Linked DNA regions of Caenorhabditis elegans. The protein of the gene in region 1 interacts with the protein of each later gene in a pairwise test. Each region holds a gene or a part of one and is shown in the gene's direction. Other genes may lie near its edges.

Region 1 (9,114 bases):
AATTTTTGTTTACGAAAAACAACATAACCTACTTTTATTTTAGCAAATTCCTTTATTACTTGTAATTACAAATATATTTTCTGGATTACCATTTCATTTAAATTGTTCTCTAGTGCTTCAAAAATTCTTTCCATGTCTGCCAGTCTACCTCTCACTTACGTTCAGACATGTGTTCTGAAATCCGGTAATTGAGTTTACACAGTGCAAATTTTCTTTTGTACTTTGGCAGTTGGCACGCCTGAAGGCACGACGAAGGCGTAGGCAGTTGTAGGCAGGCAGTCATATTGTACCCACTTTTATCCAATTCGCCAACCCATTCAGCCCCATCTATCGAACCAATTCTCTTCTATCTGTCCTTCCGCTCTTTCTTCGACTCACTATCAAAAAAGGTGACAAATTCTTCCCCGGAGAGTCGCCCTCTAGAAACTCATCCCCAAGAAAATGTCGGAGCACCATTTGCAGAACATGGGCTCAGAGGACAACTCCTCAACTTTCTGCTCTTCCCAAAATGACCCACCTAAACACTTTTTGTAAACAATTTTTTGAAATGCTCGGAGAAAGAAAGAAGTTTGAATATTTTGTGAAATTTATTTCAGCGTTTAACCCTTTAAACCCCAATTGTTCTCTCAAAATCAACAGAATTAACAATGTAACTACCCCAATGACTTATTCACTTTCCTTCTCTTCTTATAATTCTGACGTCTTCTGAACATTTTTGGTCGCCTCCCTTTTCCCAGTGCCCGGGGCTCCGGGAGCCATCTCAACTTTACACCAAGTCCTCCCTCACCCCTTTCTCCCCTCATCCATATCTTTTTTCTTGACAACTTTTTACAACTTGTTCGTTTGTGATCCCGACTGATCAGAGGTGTATTTTTTGTGTACGGTGTTTTCCTGGTAAACAAGGATCCTTGTCAGTTCATGTCAATTATATTTATCCGGTAGGTTACTTCTGACAAACTATACTTTTTCTGCGTGTGCCTGATTGTCCTTGGGTGTTCTGGATACTAAAGTCACCAAAGGTCTTTAGGGAGTTATTAGAAAGATTGAAAGCACTGATGAAGGGTCCAACGGGGTGACAAAGAACACACCAAAAAAGAAAAGTAGATTTATTTCTAGTTATGTCGGACGGACGTCACGGTTCTTGCAAGAAGACGTCACTAAGCGGATTCTCGATAAAAACTACATGAAAAAGTGTTTCAACGATCTTTTGACAATTTATTCAAACTAGGTTTCTTCATAATTTTTTGGATTTCGGTCTTGGCTTGTTTTGCTCAGTCATAATACTGAAAAAAACTGAAAACAAATTCTGAGATGAAGCAGAAAATGTAACTCAAAAACGCGACAAAACAAAATTTTTCAAAAAAGTTTGAGTCTTTTAATTTTCGCAAATTTTACCCCAAACTAGGCCCCGCCCATATCTGACATATTTTACGGAAGCTTTTGTTCGAGGCTTCATCAAATATTGTTCAACTAAAAAGATTGAAAAATAATTGAAAAAAATTTTTTGTTGTTAAAATGATTTGATAAACCCAAAGACTGCCGAGATAGAAGGTGTCAAATAAGAACAAAAGTGTTGTGAAAGGACAAGTATGATAGGTAAAAATTGAATGCCACTTTTCTGCTTTTCTATTGTTTTCCAAATTTGAAAGTACCATAGATGGTAAAACAAATCTATTTATTTTCTGAACCGTTTTAAGCTTCTAGTCCGGTTATGACTTTAAAAAAATTGTTGTTCTTATTAAGGATCAAGAAACTGTGTGAACTTTCTGTAAAGTTTTGACACTTTTGAAGTCCAGTTGATCAAACTCAATACCACAGTTGACATAACCTCAAACACAAATCGTCTAGACATACCTTTCACACGTAATTCAAAATGACCCCAATGTTTGTCCTCTCTTCGTGTTCATTTCATCCTCCCTCACACCATCACATTCAGTTAGCTCGTTATCGGGAATGTCAGAATGTGTCCGATGAATCCGTGTCAATTCTCAATCATCATCTACCAACTTGATCCCCTCAAAAAAATTTTGCAAGAGAGAGCAATTGTGTTGTTGAGTGAAACACCCTCTCATTCGGTAACCCAATCCCTGAGAGCAGTTTCTTCGTGTTTCACTTGAAGATCAGTCGTTTTGTGATAATGATGATGATGATAAAACATAGAGGACGGGAGCTCTTTTGAATAAGAAGAAGAAGCCAACTGTCTCGTTGATAATCTGTCGTCTCTTCATTCACCATTATCATCTTCTCAGACGGACTAAGACGCGCGGGATTCGGACTACGAGAGTGAGAGAGAAAGAGTCTTTGTATCCTCATTGATTATCAATTATTATCTCACACGTTTCATCCTCGATTTCTTTCTTTTTCCTACATCAACTATTACTCATATTTTTCTTGATCTTTCTTCTGTCATATGATTTTTCGGGTACTATAGGATTTTAGTTTTCAAGTTTTCACACTCAGACATTTAAATATATTTCTAGATTCTCATAAATGGGTCTTGCCACGACTGTTCCGTATACCTATTCATGAAATACCGTATTCGGTTTATGCTTTTTTTCAATTAAGCATTTTTTAACATGTTTTCATTTTTCTAACAGTAAGACAATATAAATTTACTTCATTCCAGTATTCCAAAAAAACACTTATTTTTTTCCAAACTTACTTTTGTCAAACTAATCATCTACTTTTCACATATCCATCTCCACATACGTGAAAATGTGAATAATTCTTAACTTACCATGGAATTCGTAATTTCATGTTTGCTATAAATTTGAACCATATTATTATGTGTTATTTCTGCTCATTTTTTATCGAACGTCATTCTTAGTTCCTCAGAATAGTATCGCTTTCTACTATTTTTCCAAATGCATCATACTTTATTAGCTCAAATTTCATTCATTTTCGGAAGAGTATTGTTTGCGGGGGATGTTTTTTATTTACAAATATGACACTATTCTGGGAATCTCTACAAATTGGCATTTTTCCAAAATGGTATTTTTCTGTTATAGCCTAGAGATCCTACACATTTTGATGCTCTTTTCATTTATTTTGATCTATTTTTCCTCCTTTTTTGAAGTTTTTTTTTGTGTTTTTATTTTGAACAAATGTTATGAACAACTGTGTAAATATGATCTCAAAACTTTGTCGTCACTTGTGAAAATTTGTGATGATTCAATCGGTTCAAATCACTTTGCCAAAACTACATATGTTTTCTCGGAAAAAAAAACCGTTGTTGAAATTTTCCACAGATACACAAAAACTCCTAAATGCAGAGCCTACACCTGCCTCTTACCTACTCTAAAATCTGTTGAGTGAACCATAAGACATTTAAAGTTGAGCAACAACTTTTTTGGGAAAAATAAACATTTTGGAAATTTGCAAGCAAAATATGTGGCTTTTCACAAAAACTAGATTACAAAAAATACTTTCATATTTCTCAAAATTCTTAATCACTTTCTTATAAAAAATTTGTAATGTTATAAATTTTTGAACTTGTTGTATGATTATCGGATTTTAAATTAGTAGTATACTACTTTTTTCCAAATATAAAGATAGAATATTAATAATCTTCTTTCTTTTTAAAGTTTTTATTCAAAGATACTTCTAATGCCCCCGAACAAACTCTAAACTCTATTTTGCATCTTATTGAACTTGGTCATTGTGATCTGTTTCTATTTATCTGTTTTCTCAATAGACTCTCTTTCATTGTTGCATTCCTTCATTCCAATCTTACCGTTCTATTTGTTTTTTTTTCATCACAATTTTCCATTTTGCAAGAAAGCCTGAGCCTTCTCCCAACTGAGCCTGAGTGCAAACTCGTGCCAGAAAAGGAGTGGAGGCGGAGGTGAAGATTGTTTGCTCCCGAATCTCTGTACTTGCCCTTTTTCTCATTTATTGACTCTTACTTCCTCGTTCTTCAATATTTCCAAATCATTACAATTTCTTCAAATGTTCAGATGAATATATGGCCGTTCCTGCCGCCTCATCGATAGTTTCATACGGAGGAGCAGCCACTTCTAACTTTTTGACAACACCAGTTACACCTTTTCTTGCGGTAAGTTTACTTCTTTTAACCATAAATGTTTAATTTTTTAATTTTTTTTTGAATTAAGAACGTTTGGAAGTTCAAGCTATATGTACTCAAAATGTGAAAAAACCAAAAATTGAAATATTCATACAGTAACTTAAGAATCTGACACCTCTATGTTTTTTGGAAAAAATTATAGCACACTAGAAAATCTAGGATAATGTTTTTTTCTCCCACAAATTGATTACTTTTTCAAAGTTAAGATATGAACTGAAACTTAGAAATAAATTTTCAGGGATTCTATAATTCAAATTTTGTAACCGATCGTATAAATTCATGTGCTCCGTATCGAGTGGACCGGATCAGAGTGAGTTTGAAATTAGAGATACAGTTGTAAACTTGAAAATGGTTTCCAGAAACAACTACAAGATGAAGAAGAAAATGGGTATCCACCTGCTGATGAGTGAGTTTTTAAGCTTTTCAAACTTTTTGTAACAAGGGATCTCGGATTTTTTACTCAATTCTTGAAATTTGTTTTCTTTCACAGGGCAACGACAATTTATCAAAAACAACAAAAAACATTTTTTTAATCGAAGTGATCATGATCAAAAATTAAAACTTGCCAATGATTTCAAAGGCATTGCGTTTTTGACTAATTTCTACTTCCAGCCGTCGCCGCGGAGCCCTGTTTTGTCGTTCGGGAACCTGGTTGGAGATGCTTCCTATCGAAAATCCTGACGATGGATCGACACGTGTCAAAGTTCATGGAACAAAAGAGGAGAGTTCCAAATTCAGTATAGTGGAGTTTGTGTCAGTGGCAATGAGTCTTGTATCGATTCGAGGAGTTGAAACAAAGAATTTCATTTGTATGGATCCATCGGGGAAATTATATGCAACACCATCATCTAATTATTCAACAGAATGCGTTTTTCTCGAAGAAATGATGGAAAATTATTACAATTTATATGCGTCTTGTGCTTATGGTGACAGGTTTAATCCCTGGTATATTGAATTACGACGGAGTGGAAAACCAAGGAGAGGTCCTAATTCAAAAAAACGTCGGAAAGTAAGTGAAATATATACTCATTCTGCTTTGACAGCTCGTATCGGAGATATTATTACATTTTAGAAAAATAATTTTTAAAACCCGATTAAAGTATATTTTCGAGCATATGTTCGCAAGAAAATGTGGTTTTTACCAAAAATTAGAAGCTCGAGGTCTGGAACGAGCGAATATTTCCTGATATGTACATTAACTTTTCTCTCGTTTCAATAAGTTCCTACCGTACTCGCGGCTACTGTAGCTAGATACATAAAGAAATCCGTGTGCACTTTTTTTTGATTGAAATACATTATCCGTATATTTCAGGCGAGCCATTTTCTAGTTGTTCATCACGATCTTGACCGGTTACGAAGTCCCGTTCCAAATGGAAATGTGAGTTTTTTCGAGACATACAGTTTCAACTTTTTGATTTTCAGGACGTAACCGATCTGGTAGTTGCTTCACTCTTTCACCAACCTCCCAGTCATCCATTATTCCGACAGCAGACCGTTACAAAACCACCAAATCCACATCGTATTTCAAAGTAAGCATTTATATCAAAAGTATCAGATTAGAGCTAATGAAATTTTTGTAGTTTACGAGCAAAAGTGGAAATGACGAACCAAGCTGAGAAGCAAAGATTATTAGAAGAAAAGAAAAGACGAAGAGAAAAGAAGAAACGAAGGAGAGAAGATCGATTAAGAAAAGAGGAACAAATTAGAGAGTTAGTTATTATTCTGAGAAAAAGAAAGCGCAGAGAACTGAGAATTATTATGAAAGTATTGAAAAATAGCAGAACATTTTTTTGGTTTTTAAGATTTGAAGCCAGACTGAAATGGCTTTTTTTGGGTATCGTTCCGTTTCAGTTTTTGAGCGGCAAAAATAAATTCAATGCCAGGTAGCACAAAACTATTTGAAACATTTATGATGATTCCACGTGTGACTTTCCTAGATCTATACCAATTATCAAACGTATTTCAGAGCCCGTCGCCAAGAGCTCAAAAGTCTTCGTGAAGAAGAACTCCGACGTCGTTATCAACAACAACAGCAGCAACAAGCATCTACTCAAACTCGGTACAATCGTCCTCAAAATCCAGCGAATCCTTATCCAACGTATCGACCTCTTCCAACAAGATCAACAGTACAATCTCCACGACCTGCATACAATCCATATTGGCAGTCTCCAGTGACACAGGCTCCTCATCACAATTCCCATCACCATCATCATCACCATCCACGTGTCAGCTCTTCATCAGACCCTCAACAACGTCATCAATCACAACAACACTATCTAGCTCAGACAGTGTCAAATCCAAACCGTCAGAATGTTAACTATCAACGATACCCGTGAACGATCTCTCTTCTTATGATACCCCGCACAGCATCTATCATCATGATCTTCTCATTTTCTTTCCATTTCTTCCTGCCTTCTTTTGCTTAATTAATTTTTTATCAGGGCTGATTTTGAGAAGAAGCGCAGTACATTGTCGTGAAGTTCGTAAGGCACGGTGCTTTAGAAATGAAACCCTTTCTTGTGAATATTGAAACACACAACGAATTTTCTAATTTTCTATTTCTACCTTCATAATATTTCTGTATTAGACTCTTAAAATCACACCATGCTCTAAATACGACAATTTGCGTACACTACTGTTTTTCTTCCCAAGCTCGCCCCTTTTAAGTATGTTTTCCAAGTCTCTCTAAAACACCCCCAACTCGCCACGTGTCTCATTCCATACTCACGGGTTTTGTATTTTGAACATACTGTAACTTACTATTATGAATAATATATATTTGAAAAATATGTATTGTTATTTTAAAAAAATTATCAATGGAGCGAATTTACAAAGACAGGTAATTCAAAAACTTAGAGACATGTTCTCAATCCAATTGAATGAAGGCTTTGCATCCAAATATTCAGCACCAATAACCCATGATGGATTGATCGAACGGATTTCATCGAAAATAAAATGATAATCGATTTCTCCGCGTGTATCACATGCACCTCTATTTGGAACTTGAGCCACTTGAATATAGCCTGAAAAACTCGAAAAAAATCGACGAATGAAAAAGTAATTTCAGAAAAATAGGGCGTAAGCTTATTTTCATCATCATCCTTTTCAACTAACCAATATAATCTTTGAGCTTTCTCATAATTGCTCCAATTTGTCCGTTGATTTGTTGAGCGTGGAATGTGTCCTGAAAAATTACAGTTACTTTTCGAATTCTTATTTTCAAAAAAAATTGTGCATAAAATTCGATGTTTTATGTTCTATTGACTTACATATTGAATTTTCAAATTATTCGATTGATCCATTTGGATCACATCCATTGCATCTTCATAATTATTTAAGTGATATCCAGGAATAGTGTACTTATTGATTGGTTCAATGAGGCATATCAACTTGTGCTCCTTGAACTTTTCGGCGGCAAAACGCACATTTTCAGAATAGGTCTGATGAGCATTTTCCAAGTCATCATCCGATTTCGGAATTCCAGCCATTACGTGAACTCTGAAATTGTTTAGATTACTGTAGTTTGCACCGTTTGAAGTATTAATAAGATTTGAAAGACACTACGTACTCAATACATCACATCCAATGCACATTGTTCCTAATTTGAAATCCCTCTTTCCTCAACTGACCTACAACATCCAAGAGCCTTCGCATACTCAATCGCAGTATCCAAACTCTTTCTAAACTCCTTTTTCGCCGATTTCAAAGAAGCCAATCCTCTAAATCCGTCATCCCAATTCCCGGGCGGTGCATTGATCAAAGTATGTTTAAGATGATACTCATCAGCTGCTTCACGAAGTTTTTCGGCTGGCTCCGTGTAAGGAATGCTCACTTCGACAAGCTTGAAACCCGCGGAGGCGGCTGCTCCGTATCTGAAAAAAATTGTGTGCAAAATTTAGAAGAAGCATGTAAAGTCTTTTTTTTGACAATTTTTGCCGCGAAATTACGGTAGCCGATCTCAAAGCCAATTTTAAATGTGCGGATTTCAAGAGTACTGTAGTAATGAAAATTCGAATTCCAACACAGAGAATTTTTAGTTGCAATTGGAATTTTTAATGCAAGAAATATCGGGAAGTGACAACTACAGTAATCCTCAAAGGCGCAACATCGCTAAATTTTCAAATATCCGATAGCAAAACTAAAAAATGAAATTCCGGAGACAAACCTTTGCAGCAATGGCAAATTAGTGAACAACATGTTCAGATTGGCGGCAACTCGATTCGTCCCACTCATGTCTTTTTGATCGAAATGAACTTATTTTCACACGTAAATAAACTATTTATATTTGTGTATTTCTGTATATGATAACAAGACTCCAAAATAACAGAGATGGCGTGGTTTATCGTAAATCGACAATTGAGAGAGATAATAAGAAGAAGAAGAGACGCATAGAGGGTGAGAGCAAAGTTCAGTTTTGTGTAAATTGTCCTCGAGAACAATGAAACAAGATTCAATTAATTGAAAAAGTATAAGAACCCGTCTAGAATATATTTGAAAAGTATTAAGAGTTTGGGGAATCTGAAGCTTAATGTTACAGTAAAACAGAGTACTAAGCCAAATTATTTGCACACTGAGCACGATTTTCTGCAAATAATTGCTCGAACCTCTCGTCGTTGGCAATATGAGAAAAGTGACCAAAACCGGCATCTCCATGTTAGATCTTCACAGGGTTCCGTCTGAAAATAAATAGAACAGGAAACAGAATAGTACATATTGGGTCGGTGTACCTCACAACCTTGATACATGAAATGCGAAAATTTTAACTTTCAAAAAAAATTGACTTTCAAACAGGCGGCCTTTATAGGCAAGCATGAGGTGTGCGCGCCTACATCAGGCGTAGACGGCATTGAAGTCAAGCTTAACTAGGTTAGAAAGAATTCTGACACTATAATTGACAATATTAATTTACTTCAGTTGAAAATTAATTTTCTTAATGTTTCCTATTTATTTTTCTTTCAATATTTGTGCAAAGTATTAAATTGTGAAGATAATTTATTAGATTGATTAGACACACAACACATTTAAAAATA
Region 2 (8,275 bases), on another chromosome or scaffold:
ACTCTTATCTAAATGATATAGTTTCAATCTTTACCCTTTTGGCAAGGTATGGGAAATTCAAATTCAGTGCAAAATCTAAAACCAGCAAGTTTTCAGTTGTCTTCGCTTCCCGATATATTTCTGCTGCAATCGGCTAATCCACACGGCTTCCGTTGATACTCTCCATGGAATGCGAATCACTTGTTTAATGGGCAATTCGAAAAAGCCACAGGAATACTCTCCGATCCATGGTATTCCGAATTCTTTGGAGTGTGGTGGTGCTGGTGACGGTGGATCGAAGATGTCGTTAAGTTCTCCAGAAAGTATCTCGAAGCCATCGGCAGTTTATGATGAAAAACTTCAAGAGTGGCGGTTGTAAACGGGTTCATGAATTGTCTCATTTGATTACCTATTTGTTTTTAATTTGCTCCAATTTTTCTTATTTTTAAAAAGTGTTTCATATAAATTTTAGATTTGATATAAATTTTTTGTTTCGAAATTCAACACAAAAACAAACAGAAAACTTTACAGGAACAAATTCAAAGTAGAACATGAGATTAATAATTTACAAGTCACTGAGATCATCAAAATTACGACCGTATTTCTTGCTGGGCACGAATGGTTCCCATCGTGACGCCGGATAAATGTGCTTATTCTTTTCGTACCAACTACGAAGTACTATTTTCGCTGGATGAGATTCTCCATAGTCAAGTGCAGCATCTTGGCGTATACGAACATCGGAAGCCGAATCGAACACGAACAGCGGACCAGTCTTTCCCATTGCTTTTGTGACTATAAAGTCTTGGAACGTGTAGAAATGTGGTATGATGAGATCCTCTTTGACGAACATCAGATTCTCGGCTGTGCACGATTTAAGCTCCGTGAATTCCTTTTTCAGAGCCTGAAAATGAATATTTATAAATATTTTTTGATTTGTTGAAAAAAAAAAACAATTAAAAAATATTTTAGAGGGGAAGTAAAGTTTGTGGGTTTTTGCCCGAAACGGTCGAATTTCATAAATTGCCTTCTCAAAAAATTTCCAAAAAAATAAATACATAGAACACTTTTTTTTTATTTTCTGAAGTTCATTATTACCTCAATGGCTCTTCCTAGACATTGCGAAATCGTGTTTCCTTTCTTGATTTTCATATTTTTCCGATGTGAAGATCCATCCCAATAGGCGTAGGCAACTGTAATTTCCTCGTTTTTCTCGGCATCTTGCTTCACACGCCACTCGGCTGCCAATGATTCTTTCTTTCTGAAACCAGACTTATTATTTTTTATTTATTTGTTCACCGGGATGATCTACACCCGCCAAAATTTGAAATGTCGTTGTTTTTTCTTCTAGAACTCACTTTCTCAAGAACTCCTCTCGTTCTTTATCAGGCAGGAAGCTTGTGTCGACAGTTGGGTCCATTCCAACGCGCTGCAAACATTTTTCGCTTTAATTTTTTCTTTTTAATTATTATTCTTACCTTTTTCGGGATAATTGGTGCAGCATCTTCTTCGTCCTCTTCGTCATCAAATGCAAACGATAAAAATCGCTTCTGAAATTAGCAATATTAAAACAGTTTTTCTCGAATGTTCTACAAAAATGTTTTATATCTGCGTTTCCTCACACTCTCACCTGCCCTCAATTTTTCTTTCTCGAAAGTTCTCAAATTTTTAGAAATCTGGTATAAAAGACTCTTTCGACGAGAAATCTCTAGTCAATTGAACTACAACTGCTACCCGAGTCTAGAGCCTACAACCAAATTTCTACAGCAATCCTTCACATTTACCTGGGTATGTTTTGCAACGTGTTCTTCTTTTTCTCGAGCTTCTTGTGAATCTTTAGATTGAGTAGAAGATGATTGGTCTCCCCGGGCCACTTGTAGATCTCTATAAGGTACACATTTTTATTGTGAGGCTCTCCAAAATGTAGAAAATCGAACCTGTTTGAAATTTCGTTTTTCTGAATATTTTTCATATCATCCAATGATACCAAGCCATAGGTTTTAGACTTCACGACTTCTTCGACTGTTTCATAGTTTGCCATGAATTTATTCGTAATTCCGACCCTGCCTGCAAAATTTGTAGTTTTAATAATTAAAAAGGGGTTTCACCATACATTTTTCTTTGTCTTCTTCAAGCTTTCGCAATTGTTGTTCGATATCTTCCTTTTCACGCTCACGTTTCTTTGCCAAATGAATCAAGCGGCCTTCGTCGGCGCGGGACATTTTATTAACTGCAAAAATAAAATAAAAACCAATGAAAGCAATATTTTTCAACGAGTTCAATATTGAGAGTGACATATAGTTTATTTCGGGATTTTATTTAATATAGAATAATAATTTTAGATTTTTTTTTGGTGCAAAAATACCAAAAAAACGTCTTTTCGACGAAGTAATCTGAAAAAAATGAAGAAAAAACAATTCAAACTAAAAACAAGAAAATGTTTGTGGCCTAGTTACCTATTCTGCAAAACTTCGGCCAGGTGCTGAAAACGCGCTCTATTGACAATTTTCGTCGAGAATTTTCCGCCGAAAAGGGCAATTTGAAAACCAACCAATCAAATTGAAAGGCCACGCCCTCCTTCGAGAACATTTCGCATCTTGTTCAAAATTTAGACCTTCAATTACGCCTCAGAGCTCTGATATTCCCAGTTCTTTCGGTTTTCGGGTGAAGATTTTTGGTTTTCCTCTCACTAATATGGCTTTTATGTTAATCACGGATCATTGTTTTTGATTTTTAAAGGTTTTTGAACAATAGTTTTAGGCCTAAAATTAGTTCATTTCTAGATAAGGTTATAATGTGTTTTTAGTTTCGAAATCATTCGCCATGCGTGCTCTTTCATTCATTGAATCGTTATAAAGTTCTATTCAGTTTTTGTTGCTCGATTGTTAATTGATATTTTTCCAGAACCATGTCCGAGAACGCCGAAACCTTCGCATTCCAGGCTGAGATTGCTCAGTTGATGAGCTTGATCATCAACACTTTCTACAGTAACAAGGAAATCTACTTGCGTGAATTGATCTCAAACGCCTCCGATGCTCTTGACAAGATTCGCTACCAGGTTTGTTTTTTCGCTTCTGAGTCAATTTTTTAAAATATCGGTTTTAGGCACTCACCGAGCCATCCGAGCTTGACACTGGAAAGGAATTGTTCATCAAAATTACTCCAAACAAGGAGGAAAAGACCCTTACCATTATGGATACCGGAATCGGAATGACCAAGGCCGATCTTGTCAACAACCTTGGAACCATTGCCAAGTCTGGAACCAAGGCCTTCATGGAGGCTCTTCAAGCTGGAGCTGATATTTCCATGATTGGTCAGTTCGGAGTCGGATTCTACTCTGCTTTCCTTGTCGCCGATAAGGTTGTCGTCACATCCAAGAACAACGATGATGACAGCTATCAATGGGAGTCTTCCGCAGGAGGTTCTTTCGTCGTTCGTCCATTCAATGACCCAGAGGTCACCCGTGGAACGAAGATTGTCATGCACATCAAGGAGGATCAGATTGACTTCCTCGAGGAGCGCAAGATCAAGGAGATCGTTAAGAAGCATTCTCAGTTCATCGGATACCCAATCAAGCTTGTGGTTGAGAAGGAGCGTGAGAAGGAGGTTGAAGATGAGGAGGCTGTCGAGGCTAAGGATGAGGAGAAGAAGGAGGGAGAGGTCGAGAACGTCGCTGACGACGCTGACAAGAAGAAGACCAAGAAAATCAAGGAGAAGTACTTCGAAGACGAAGAGCTTAACAAGACCAAGCCAATCTGGACCAGAAACCCAGACGATATCTCCAACGAAGAATATGCTGAGTTCTACAAGGTATTTTTAGTTTTAATTATTTTATGGCAATAATTCCATTAATTTCAGAGCTTGTCCAATGACTGGGAAGATCATCTTGCCGTCAAGCATTTCTCCGTTGAGGGACAACTTGAATTCCGTGCTCTTCTCTTCGTCCCACAAAGAGCTCCATTTGATCTCTTCGAGAACAAGAAGAGCAAGAACTCCATCAAGCTCTACGTTCGTCGTGTCTTCATCATGGAGAACTGCGAAGAGCTCATGCCAGAATACCTTAACTTCATCAAGGGAGTCGTCGATTCTGAGGATCTTCCACTTAACATCTCTCGTGAAATGCTCCAGCAATCCAAGATCTTGAAGGTCATCCGTAAGAATCTTGTCAAGAAGTGCATGGAGCTTATCGACGAGGTTGCCGAGGACAAAGACAACTTCAAGAAGTTCTACGAGCAATTCGGAAAGAATCTCAAGCTCGGAATCCACGAGGACTCTACTAACCGCAAGAAGCTTTCCGATTTCCTTCGCTACTCTACCTCCGCTGGAGATGAGCCAACTTCCCTCAAGGAATACGTTTCCCGCATGAAGGAGAACCAAACTCAAATCTACTACATCACCGGAGAGTCCAAGGATGTTGTTGCTGCTTCAGCTTTCGTCGAGCGTGTTAAGAGCCGCGGATTCGAAGTCCTCTACATGTGCGACCCAATTGATGAGTACTGCGTCCAACAACTCAAGGAGTATGATGGAAAGAAGCTTGTCTCCGTCACCAAGGAAGGACTCGAGCTCCCAGAAACCGAGGAGGAGAAGAAGAAGTTCGAAGAGGACAAGGTTGCCTACGAAAACCTTTGCAAGGTCATCAAGGACATTTTGGAGAAGAAGGTTGAGAAGGTTGGAGTTTCTAACCGTCTTGTCTCTTCCCCATGCTGCATTGTCACTTCCGAGTACGGATGGTCCGCTAACATGGAGCGCATCATGAAAGCTCAAGCTCTTCGTGATTCCTCTACTATGGGATACATGGCCGCCAAGAAGCATCTCGAAATCAACCCAGACCACGCTATCATGAAGTAAGTTACCCAAAAACTATTTTAAAATGAACATTCACAAACGTTTTTGCTATTTCAGGACACTTCGTGATCGTGTCGAGGTCGATAAGAATGACAAGACCGTTAAGGATTTGGTTGTTCTTCTTTTCGAGACTGCTCTTCTCGCTTCCGGATTCTCCCTTGAGGAGCCACAATCTCACGCTTCCCGCATCTACAGAATGATCAAGCTTGGTCTCGATATCGGAGATGACGAAATTGAAGATTCTGCTGTTCCATCATCGTGCACCGCTGAGGCCAAGATTGAGGGAGCTGAGGAGGATGCTTCCCGCATGGAGGAGGTCGACTAAACATCCTATTTAATTTATCATTTGTTACGAGAAGATCTCCCCAAAAGCCCCTCCACAGTTTTATTCATTGTTTTCCTGTCTATCGAACCCAAATAAAGTTCCGTAATTAATTTCATCAATGTTTTTTTTTGCAAACGTGAACTTTTGAAGAAGCACATTTGAACAGTTTAGATACTCGAGGGAAATTAAACAGTTTTAGTTTATACGAAACATGATTGCAATCTTATTCGAGTTGGCATGTTTCCTGATCTTGGCCAGTGCTGTTTGCTGCATCATTCCAGAACCGGTTTATACATGAGTTGGAGATGAGTTTAATATCTTTTCATGTTTCAGGAAAAGCCATTCAATCCACCTCCACGTCCAAATTTCAATTATAACCTCTGGGATCCTGTCAATGAAGATTTCGAAGGACGCAAGTTGGATGTTCGTTGGTGGAATCCGGAAGAAGAAGATGAAGATGAAATTGTTCCAATCCCACCAAACCTTGCTGTCTAATCTCTCATTTTATTTCTAAAAATAAAAATTTTTCGATAATCGTTTTATGAACATATGCTTATTCTCTTGAAAAATCCGCTTTCCGCGCACGCAAATCTGTTGATGCGTGCTCAAATTGACATCCGTTACCATGCCAACTCTTTCCAACTGCCCTTGAGAAATTGAAAGCAGCTTTACTGAGCTCTTTCTGTGTTCCGGGCTCTCTTTGCAGTCTGTGCTCACTCCTATTAATTATGAAAACGGCAGGGACTTCGCGTGATACGTCTTCTAATATTCAAAACAAGCGAGTTATGAAGAAACCCAAAGCTATCAGGGTATGTATTAAAAGGGATATTCGAAATAAATGTTTTTTTTTCGTTTTTAGGCTTGCAATTTGTTTTCTCTACAGTACTTCAATTTAAAGGCGCATGTAGTTTTTTCTGCTGCTTAATTTTCAAAATACCGCTGAAAACACTTGAAAAATAACCGGAATATACGCAGTTTTTGTGGGTATACACTTTTTCCGTCACCTCTTAACGGAAAACTGTCGGCAACCGGTCTTCCATCTTTCCGCGCGCGTTTTCTCTCATTCTTCAGTTTTGTGTGTGTCAGCGGCATCGACCGAAAACATGCCGTCGATAGCTCAGTTGGTAGAGCGGAGGACTGTAGAGTTTGCAGATATCCTTAGGTCACTGGTTCGAATCCGGTTCGACGGAGTTCTTTTTGTTTCAGTTTTCATCGTAATTTTTTTGGTCGACCAACAGTTTTCTACGGATTGTGTTTCTTGTAATTTTAGCTGTTAAAGCAAAAGCAAAAATCTATTAAAATTACTATATTATCAAAAAATTTGTAACAATTTTAGTCTACATTATCGACCAATGCAGCTTCCCGTCGAAAACCTGCAATAGGATCTGCTGCCAAAAAGAAAGTCCAAGTTGTTGAGCCAATCCAGAATCAGAATGCAGATTCCCGAAAGATAGCTGAAGTTGAGAAAAAATTAAACGCAATTCAAATTACAAAAGACCGCCTGAAAGATCGAGCTGATAAGTTGAGTGGAGAATTGACAAAAACTAGAGTGGAACTGAATGCAGCTCAACAGGAAAGAGGAAGAATTCAACAATTCTGGAGAATAGCTGAAAATGGATTAGGAGAAGAAAGAGAGAGAACAAGAGACGTAGAGAAAAGTATGTTTGATATGAAGACACATCAAGCAACTCATATCCAGAAATTACAACAAAGAATTCGAAGTTTGGTATTTCATGCAAAAATGCATAGAAATGCTGGAACACAGTCAGAAGCAATTGCTCCAAGTGGTGGTCTAGAAAGTGTTGAATGTCAGACAATGGAAGAATTGACAAAAGAGAAAGCAGCGAATATCTTAAGACAATCTGATGATCTTCTAGTAACATTCATTGCGGAGCTTGAAAAAGAGAAGTTAGAAGCTCAAAGTGATTTGAAATATGCAATTGTGCATTTGGAGCAACGAATGAAAGAGGAACAGGAGACACAAATGCAAGCGATGAAAGAAGAAAGAGAAATTGAAATTGAGGAAATTGGATTGAAACATATGGAACAGATAAGGACAATTGAATCTGGAAATAGTGAGCAAACTGCCATGATGCAAGGAAAAATTGATTTCTTGCAGGTAGGAACTCTGAATATTCGATATTTTAGATTTTGCATTTAAAAAATCTAACATTCTGAAATACCACAACAGAAAAAAAATCTCAAAATAGTTAAAATATATGATTTGAATTTCCTCCACAGCGAGAACTGCGACCAATCAACGACTCGCTCCGCCCACGTTTGAACTAATCAGATAAAGTTTGTAACGTTCGAAGATTCTGGTTGGTTCGAAAGCGGGCGTGGCTTCTCGTTTTGGAGGGAATTAAAAACCAAAATTGTCAAATCACACTAAAAATTAATATTTGAAATTTTCCTCTATTTTCATCGTATTTATTCTGTCGTATTTCTGAATTTGAGTCTATTTTGGATATTTTTAAAGCAAAATAAAAACCCCCTGTTTATAACGATATTTGAATCATAAGATCAATTTTTTCAACTAATTTTTATTAAAGTATTAATTCTTCATAAAAACCATCTTCACCATTCCAGAGCGAAGTTTCAAATCTCCGTGATCTACGTGATTCAATATCAGCGGATCTCATTGATAGTCGCGAGAAACTCAAGGATCAAGCCGTCCTACTCGGCCAAAATCAAGCAAACATTGATGAGATGAGCAAAGAAATCGCGAGGCTTCAGGATTACAAGAGGAATTTTCAGGTAAGAAAAGGGATGTACGTATCATTCGTGAAAGTTGCTTGATTTGCTCTGACAAATTGTTTAACTTTAAAAAAAACGTACAAAACTAGTTTGAAAAATAAGAAACAATTCGATTCTAAATCGTGAAAAAACAAATTTATGGGCGAAGACTACATTCAGATATTTTTTGCTGTTGCTTGAAAATTTTGTTTCAAATTTCTTGATACTTCTTGAACATGTTTTCACATGATTTCAATCCGTTTGAAAACAAATTTTTAAATAACGGGATACAAACTTATTTGCTTTTTTTCTATCAAATTTATATTGCCGATATGTTTTGTACTATTGATTTTATATGGTTGAATAGAACAGATTAAGGATTCCTAGGTAGTT
Region 3 (7,319 bases), on another chromosome or scaffold:
AAAGTTGAATTTCCCGCCAAAATGTTTTTTAGAAAATTTGAATTTCCCGCTAAAATGACTTTTTCAGAAAATTTAAACTTCCCGCCAAAATTATTCTCAGGAAATTTGAATTTTTCGCCAGAAGGTCTCACCACGATGTGTCTACAGTATAAAATCTACAGTAATCCTACAGTACTCCTACAGTACCTCTACAGTACCTCTACAGTACTACTACAGCACCCCGACCATGTCACTCCATTAACCCTAAACCAATATCCCTTTACCAACCGTGGACCGCACCTCCGGCGCGGCCCCCGACTTCTGGAGCTGAAAAGTAATTTTTCTGAAACTACCGTAATCATACAGTACTCCTACCGTATCACTATTGTAATACTACAGTACTCCGATTATATCTGTACACTAACCCCAACTCACAATCCCTCCAGAAGCTAAAACTTCGCAGACTATAAAGACTACATACAAACTATGAACAAACGGAATAAGCGCTTTGTATATATAGTAAATGATAATCCAAAACTTTGCACACTACAAAGCCTGCATACACTACAAACTCCGGAGTCCGGACAGACTAACTGTATTTTTTTAAAATATAAGCAATAATGATGCTGAGCATCAAAGGGATTGAGCCATCGTTAGGGATTGAGCGTTCAAGTGAAGGAGCACGCTAGTAAATGAGGGTTTGCCCCGAACCGACGCCACCCACCGAAGAAGACGACCTGGACTTCAAGTCCTCTCCACCCTCATTACCACCATCACTCGCTCCTACTTCAAAAAATGAATGCGTTTCAGCATATTCCCTTGTTTTCTCAAGAAAAAATCATAAGAAACATGTTTTTTCACTGCGAAAAAAAATTGAATATCCAGAAAAATTTCAATTATCAGCCTCTTCTCCTTCTTTTCCGTCGACACGCTGCTCGTGAGTACTCTTCAATAGATCGTAAAGTGTACGAGCACGTTTCAAGTTCGAGATATCGTACGAATCCAGTGAGCTCTTCATCTTCTCCAATTCGCGATGAGCACTATCAAGAGCACTCTGTGCAATTTCGTTGGCTTCTTTGGGAAGATTCAGGACATCGAAGTTTAAGGCGCTTGCATTGAGGGCAAGTCCAAGGCGAATTGGGTGAGTTGGCTGCATCTTGTCCTTAGCGATACCAAGAGCCTCCTGAAAGTCATTTCATTTACATCAAGAATTTAGTTATTCAAATACCTGATAAGCGATTCGCGACTTGTGTGCATGCTCTTCTCTGTTGATATCGTCGTATTGGACCAGATACCTAAAATGGTCGGCGACCATGCCACCGAAGAGAGCCTTAGTTTCATCATTTAGCGCATAGTCTCAAGCCAAACAGGCGGGGCAGTTCAAAAATAGTTTGATATATAGTTTGATATAGTTTGATGAATAGTGGCGTGGAGTACGGTTTCGCGGCAATTCAAATACTACTATTCTTGAGACCAGACGAATCGGACGATTAACGGCGGCGAGGGATTCGGATCGGGGGAACCCAATCTGTGGGACGGGCCACGCCCACGATCAAATTTTGCAACCTCCGCACGGTTCTATGGGCGTGGCCAATCCCCCGATGTCAACAAATTTTAAAAAAAACCTTCCCCGATTTTATAAATATTTCAGCTTGAAATCGCGATGTTCATTTGCGAACTCGAGGCATTTTCGAAACGTTAAATGTTCCCGCGCAATAATGCTCCGCTGAACAGTGCACGCTTTTTGTGTAGATTCATTTAAATATTCATTTTCCGTCAGATTTCATGTAGAAACCCAAAGATTCGCTCATTTCGCTGCTCGATCTTTTCTTTTTCTTCATTCAACCGTATATTATATGCATTTTTCGTTTAAACGTTTTTCAAAAATTTTTAAAAATTGCTTACAATCTTCTTTGTAAAAAGAATATATTTTGCAACCAATTTTTTCGATTCTCCATGGAAAACTTATCAATTTAAACTGCATTCACTGTTACACTGATAATGCTTTGAACGACGGCGGTCGGAGAACTTCCAACCGATTACTGTTCTCCAATTTCATGTTTCTAGAAAAAAAGAAATTTCTGTCGTTTCATAACATGTTTTAACACGCAGAGCCTTTTTTTTTCGAATGAACCGCCATTTTCTTTAAAGGCGCAAGCTATTCCCTCTGCGCGATATTTCGCCGCGAAAAAAGAAGCCCCGCGAAAAAACGTATTCGAACCGCGGAATTTCCGCGAATTTGTTGCTGGTTTCTTCTAGAATTCAACGATTCAATGCTCATTTCATCACAATTTTTTTTTGTAAAATTATCCTTCTCGCTTTTATGCTCCTCTTGCCCTCAATTTTCTGTCTAAAAGCTATCATTTCCTCTGATTTCTTCCTCGATTTTCAAATGTTGGCCCAAAATAGTGATTTTTTCTTTAATTATATCCTAATCCCCACCAACACGATTTAGCAATTCTCGAAAATTATTTTTTTGCGTTGTTCAGGTAAAAGTCCTGACGAAACCTCCTGAGTTTTGTGTAACGTGCTCACCGAAAGATTAGTGTGCTTGCTGCGCCCGTTGTCACCACTGCCATTCATCCTTCTATTCCCGTGTTTTCTTATCAAATGCCCAAAAAATCTGAAATTTTTTGTGTAGACAATGCTATATATGAGGAGCGAATGTGTGCGCCAGAGAAAAAGACGGACAGACACAAATTGAGTGAGTGTGCGTTGCCCACTTTAGTTGTTGTCATGCGACGGCGGCGGCACGCGCTCTCTCATCGGCCGGCACTGCTGTCCATCGATTTTTCTTCTTTCAAACGTCGTGCGGGCTGTTTCGAATGTTCTAGGGCTCTCCGTTTCGATTATTACTCTCGCCTATGTTCTTCTCTTTTCGTTCTCAATATTTCATTATAAATTTTGTTTCAGAAGACTTGCTCACTGAAAAAATGTCCGATACCGTGGAAGAGCTCGTTCAACGCGCCAAGCTTGCCGAACAAGCCGAGCGATACGATGATATGGCTGCCGCCATGAAGAAAGTAAGATAAAACATCATTTACGGAGGTTTCAAATTTACTATTTTTCAGGTGACCGAGCAGGGACAGGAGCTTTCCAACGAAGAGCGTAACCTTCTCTCTGTTGCCTACAAAAACGTCGTCGGAGCTCGCCGTTCATCGTGGAGAGTTATCTCTTCCATTGAGCAAAAGACCGAGGGATCCGAGAAGAAGCAACAACTCGCCAAGGAATACCGCGTCAAGGTAACTACACCAAGCAAGATTTTATTAATTTCAAGAATTTTAGTAACTTATTTACATTATTTCAGGTTGAGCAAGAACTCAACGACATCTGCCAAGATGTGCTCAAGCTCCTCGACGAGTTCCTCATTGTCAAGGCTGGAGCTGCTGAGTCGAAGGTCTTCTATCTCAAGATGAAAGGAGATTACTACAGATACCTCGCCGAGGTCGCTTCAGAGGATCGCGCTGCCGTTGTTGAGAAGTCCCAGAAGGCTTACCAGGTATTTGAAAATAACTAAATTCTTGATGTAAATGGCATGACTTTCAGGAGGCTCTTGATATCGCTAAGGACAAGATGCAGCCAACCCACCCAATTCGCCTTGGACTTGCCCTCAACTTCTCTGTCTTCTACTACGAGATCTTGAACACTCCAGAGCACGCTTGCCAACTCGCGAAACAGGCTTTCGATGATGCTATTGCTGAGCTCGACACGTTGAACGAGGATTCGTACAAGGACTCGACCTTGATCATGCAACTTCTACGTGACAATCTCACTCTCTGGACATCTGACGTTGGAGCTGAAGATCAAGAGCAGGAGGGAAACCAGGAAGCTGGAAACTAAGTACGATTTCAAAATGTTTTATTGCCATTATATAAAGCTGACCTTTTTCCTCTTTTCCTTTCACATCAAATCTTGCTTCGAAAAAATAGTTTCGGTTTTCAGAGAGCTGAACTCCGTTCTCTTTCCTCGCATCTCTTCAACTTTCAGTTATCCTCCAACATTTCCGGTACGTTAGCCGAGAGAGTTGCCTAATCACCGTTTTTGTTTTAGACTTAACGTATTCACCAATACTCCATACAACACTGCGCAATAGCATCATGAAAGAAAATTCGGTCTTCAAGTGCTCTAGATCTCCAAGCCATAATTCTCTTCATGCTCTATTTCGCTGTAATTCACTCCGTCACTATTGTCATTCCTAAAATGGCGTATTGTTCTATGATTATTATGTGCTGTAAAGTATAATGAACCCCCATCTTCCATTTTTCTCTTATTATCCCCGATCTTTATTTTTAGATCTTTTTGAACATAAATGTTTGGTGAACTTTTCCGGTTGTCCGAATTTCATCACAACTTTCCAGGAGTTTTTCGAGTAATGGAATGGAATTTATTTTCAGATTTCGATGAAGGAGCATAAATAGGATAAAACATTTGCATTAACCTCTTAGAAGGTCTCAACACGAAAAATTAAATGAAATGTGAAAAAGTGTGCGCCTTTAAGCTGCCGAAAATTTTTTGATAGTTTCTTCCACGATTCGTTAAAAATTAAGTGTTTTATGGTAACATTTGAGTGTTCTTTTGAAAATAAATATATTCTTTGTCGAAAAACTATGAAACATCGATAAAAATTCCGCAGCAATAGAAGTTTAAAATTACAGTACTCTTTAAAGACTCACACCTTTTTGCGTTCAACAAATATTAGACGTGTCGAGACTAAGTACCGTACTTTTGGCGCAAAAAGCTCAAAATTTCGCTCCTGGGCAATATAATTTTCGGAAAAAAACTTAATTCTGGAGACTTCATGTGTTTTCACAGATCATGACGAGACCGATTGAGAAACATTTGGAAATACATTTTTCTTCAATATATCTTCAAAGTGGCCGATTGTATGTGATCATACGGAATAACGATGGATGTGTTTTGTGCTTTTCGGCAGATTTCGAGCTTTTGAGCCAACAATTTTCAGCGTTGTGGATGAAAAAACATGTCACGTTGTTTAATCAATTTAAAATCTTTAAAATGTAATGACTATTTTTATGGACTGCGCAGTTGCCCCATGTTGAAAAAAGATGTCAATTGCAATTACATTTTATTTTCCGTATAAGTTAAATTCAATAACCCAAAGTTCAAAAAAGTACTATTTATGAGTATTATCACGTGGTGTCAGAATGTCCCATGTCGGTTTGAACTTCGAAATATGCGGGAGTTGAGACGTAGACTGACGTCACATTTTTCTGAGAAAAAGTTATCCGCATTTTTGTAGATCATACCGTTATGGGGCAACCTGACACCACGTGTCTTATTCGAGATCCATATTTGAGTGAACACCCGGATAAGCTGGTAATCGTCTTTTCTTTTCAATTATGTGAACACTGATATGAATAATTTATTAAATAATTAATTGATTGAAGTTTCGCAGGGAAGCTGAGGCTTGCTGAGCTCTAATTCAGCGTTCAACACAAAGTCGGCTGGTTCTGAACGAGCTAGGAGAACATAGACTGTGTTGGCTACTGTAAGTGTTAAAGCATGGATCAGGAAGTAGCTGGTCCATGAGAGTTCAGCTGAAAGTGTTGAAAAAGGTTTAGTTTAGAAAGAGAATGAATTGATACTTACAATCTTCACTTCCCGGAAGCACAAGAAGAGAAAAAAGAACAGGTTCGAGCAGTGTTGCTAACGATTTGAACAATTGAATATACCCGATGACAAAGTAAGAGAATTGTCTGAAAATGTTCATTCTTGAAATTTCAAATTAATTTTTAAATCGCCTTACCTTGATATCAAAGCGGCGCCCTTATAGAATCCTCCACAATTGAACCCGAATGAAGCCTGATAGAAAGTGATGCAGATGACGTGTAGATATGGATGCTCGCGTGGCAGCAAGACTACGAGCATGAGAAAAAACGCGGGTACTTGCAATGAGATCGTGTTGAATAACCGCAACTTTGACTTTTCCGGCAGTGTACGAATACGATCGGACGCGATACCGGCGAATACTCGAACACCGATGAATAGATAACCTTTCATGGAATTCAGCCATGCATTAGCCTGGAAATTCACAAAATTGAGGGCAAATATCGGTGCAATATCGGTCTTTATTGCAATTTCGTGAAATTTTGACATGGCACTTTAAAGGCACACGCTGTTTTTCTCAGTGGGTCTCGCCACGCTCTCAACCATTGTAGTCGCTACAGGTACCAAATGTCATAGAATTGTTCATTGGATGTGGAAAATTAAGTTTGCCCCGACGTGCCTGAACACAAATTTACCTGAATATCCATTCCGAGGTATTGATAGTATTGTGCACCATATACAAGAAATACAAAACTGGCAAAAATATCGGCGAACCCGGCAACCCACACGGCCCAAACTGACTTGTCGGTGAGAACTTCTCGATACGGAGTCTTTTTTGTCTTATCTCTCTTGGTTCCTCCACCAATGTGTTGAAGCTCGTGATGTGTCATTAGGCAATGATCTTCCGGATCGTCACGATAGAACAAGAACCAGATGATTGTTGAGATGAAGAGAATTATTGAGAGAATATAATAGATAGGTCGCCAGCCAACATTTGATGTTGTCTGAAATATTATGAATTTTAAATATACCGTCTCAGTGCAATAACCTACCCATCCTGCCAGTGGCAACTGAATTACAGCTCTTGCCGCAGTGAATCCACTCAACGCAGCCAGTGACATTCCTACTTCTTTGATAGGCGACCACTTTGAGCACACGTATCCGACAACTCCAAAGTCAGCAGAGTAGAGGATTCCTTGGAATATCCTGAATACAAGTGCTACATGGTAGTTCGTGTCAAGAGCCCATGGCATGAAGGCAGTGACGACGGCACAGAGCAAACTGGCAAATGTGAGGACAAGACGGGGTCCATATTTTTGCATTAGCACATTCTGAGGATACATTCCAATGAGTGAACCAATTGCCATCGCTGAGATCAGACTGGACTTCTCTTCTAATGTGTAGATGTAGATCTGAAAATTTATTGTTGATGCTAAGGTTCAAAAATGTTACGCCTGAGTTTTATGGGCTAGAAGACCTGATTTAATGTCTAAGAACCAGAGTTATGCGGACCATTTTTGAGTGAAACTTTTCATGTAAATTTAGAAAAACACTGATGAATAATTTGACAAATTTCAAGACTAAATGTAAGTTTCTCTAAAATTCTCCAAAAGTTGCTATACGGCAAGGCACATTTCGATCAGCATATTGCGACGTTGACACAGATTTTGAATAACTTGTAAAGTGTACTACTACGTTTATATAGGGCTTCCATGGCTTGCCTCAAGCCGGCATGAAGAAAAAGTTAAGATGTGTTCTAGTAGAAGACATGG

The links. Proteins that work in one complex are often made in the same cells at the same time.
Region 2: the proteins of let-756 (region 1) and hsp-90 interact in binary tests that used the Caenorhabditis elegans proteins (3 or more experiments, as listed by UniProt).
Region 3: the proteins of let-756 (region 1) and par-5 interact in binary tests that used the Caenorhabditis elegans proteins (3 or more experiments, as listed by UniProt).

The regions. Positions count from the first base shown.
Region 1 is NC_003281.10:6,403,173-6,412,286, forward strand, and holds let-756 (Protein let-756), read left to right. Parts: upstream 1-3,956; 5' UTR 3,957-3,964; coding exon 3,965-4,054; intron 4,055-4,322; coding exon 4,323-4,394; intron 4,395-4,443; coding exon 4,444-4,490; intron 4,491-4,696; coding exon 4,697-5,093; intron 5,094-5,396; coding exon 5,397-5,462; intron 5,463-5,506; coding exon 5,507-5,613; intron 5,614-5,664; coding exon 5,665-5,793; intron 5,794-6,050; coding exon 6,051-6,420; 3' UTR 6,421-6,861; downstream 6,862-9,114. Other genes in the region: C05D11.5 (Putative hydroxypyruvate isomerase), read right to left, coding at 6,929-7,107, 7,199-7,268, 7,354-7,582, 7,714-7,956, 8,250-8,317; nas-4 (Metalloendopeptidase), read right to left, coding at 8,644-8,760. UniProt on the Caenorhabditis elegans protein: Required for larval development. Probably by binding receptor egl-15, negatively regulates membrane protrusion from body wall muscles during larval development.
Region 2 is NC_003283.11:14,683,280-14,691,554, forward strand, and holds hsp-90 (Heat shock protein 90), read left to right. Parts: upstream 1-2,880; 5' UTR 2,881-2,884; coding exon 2,885-3,034; intron 3,035-3,081; coding exon 3,082-3,786; intron 3,787-3,834; coding exon 3,835-4,820; intron 4,821-4,878; coding exon 4,879-5,146; 3' UTR 5,147-5,260; downstream 5,261-8,275. Other genes in the region: C47E8.3 (G-protein coupled receptors family 1 profile domain-containing protein), read left to right, coding at 1-46, 97-358; C47E8.4 (Protein FAM50 homolog), read right to left, coding at 545-880, 1,075-1,237, 1,335-1,405, 1,455-1,526, 1,761-1,860, 1,914-2,043, 2,090-2,198; C47E8.11 (uncharacterized protein), read left to right, coding at 5,358-5,432, 5,480-5,641; gasr-8 (uncharacterized protein), read left to right, coding at 5,875-5,955, 6,483-7,265, 7,736-7,903. UniProt on the Caenorhabditis elegans protein: Molecular chaperone that promotes the maturation, structural maintenance and proper regulation of specific target proteins involved for instance in cell cycle control and signal transduction. Undergoes a functional cycle that is linked to its ATPase activity.
Region 3 is NC_003282.8:11,817,491-11,824,809, reverse strand, and holds par-5 (14-3-3-like protein 1), read left to right. Parts: upstream 1-2,892; 5' UTR 2,893-2,912; coding exon 2,913-3,002; intron 3,003-3,050; coding exon 3,051-3,221; intron 3,222-3,286; coding exon 3,287-3,478; intron 3,479-3,525; coding exon 3,526-3,819; intron 3,820-3,921; 3' UTR 3,922-3,985; intron 3,986-4,029; 3' UTR 4,030-4,304; downstream 4,305-7,319. Other genes in the region: M117.3 (14-3-3 domain-containing protein), read right to left, coding at 872-1,162, 1,208-1,294; M117.1 (Major facilitator superfamily (MFS) profile domain-containing protein), read right to left, coding at 5,374-5,537, 5,590-5,696, 5,747-6,021, 6,243-6,551, 6,600-6,959. UniProt on the Caenorhabditis elegans protein: Required to modulate lifespan, in concert with hcf-1, acting redundantly with 14-3-3-like protein ftt-2.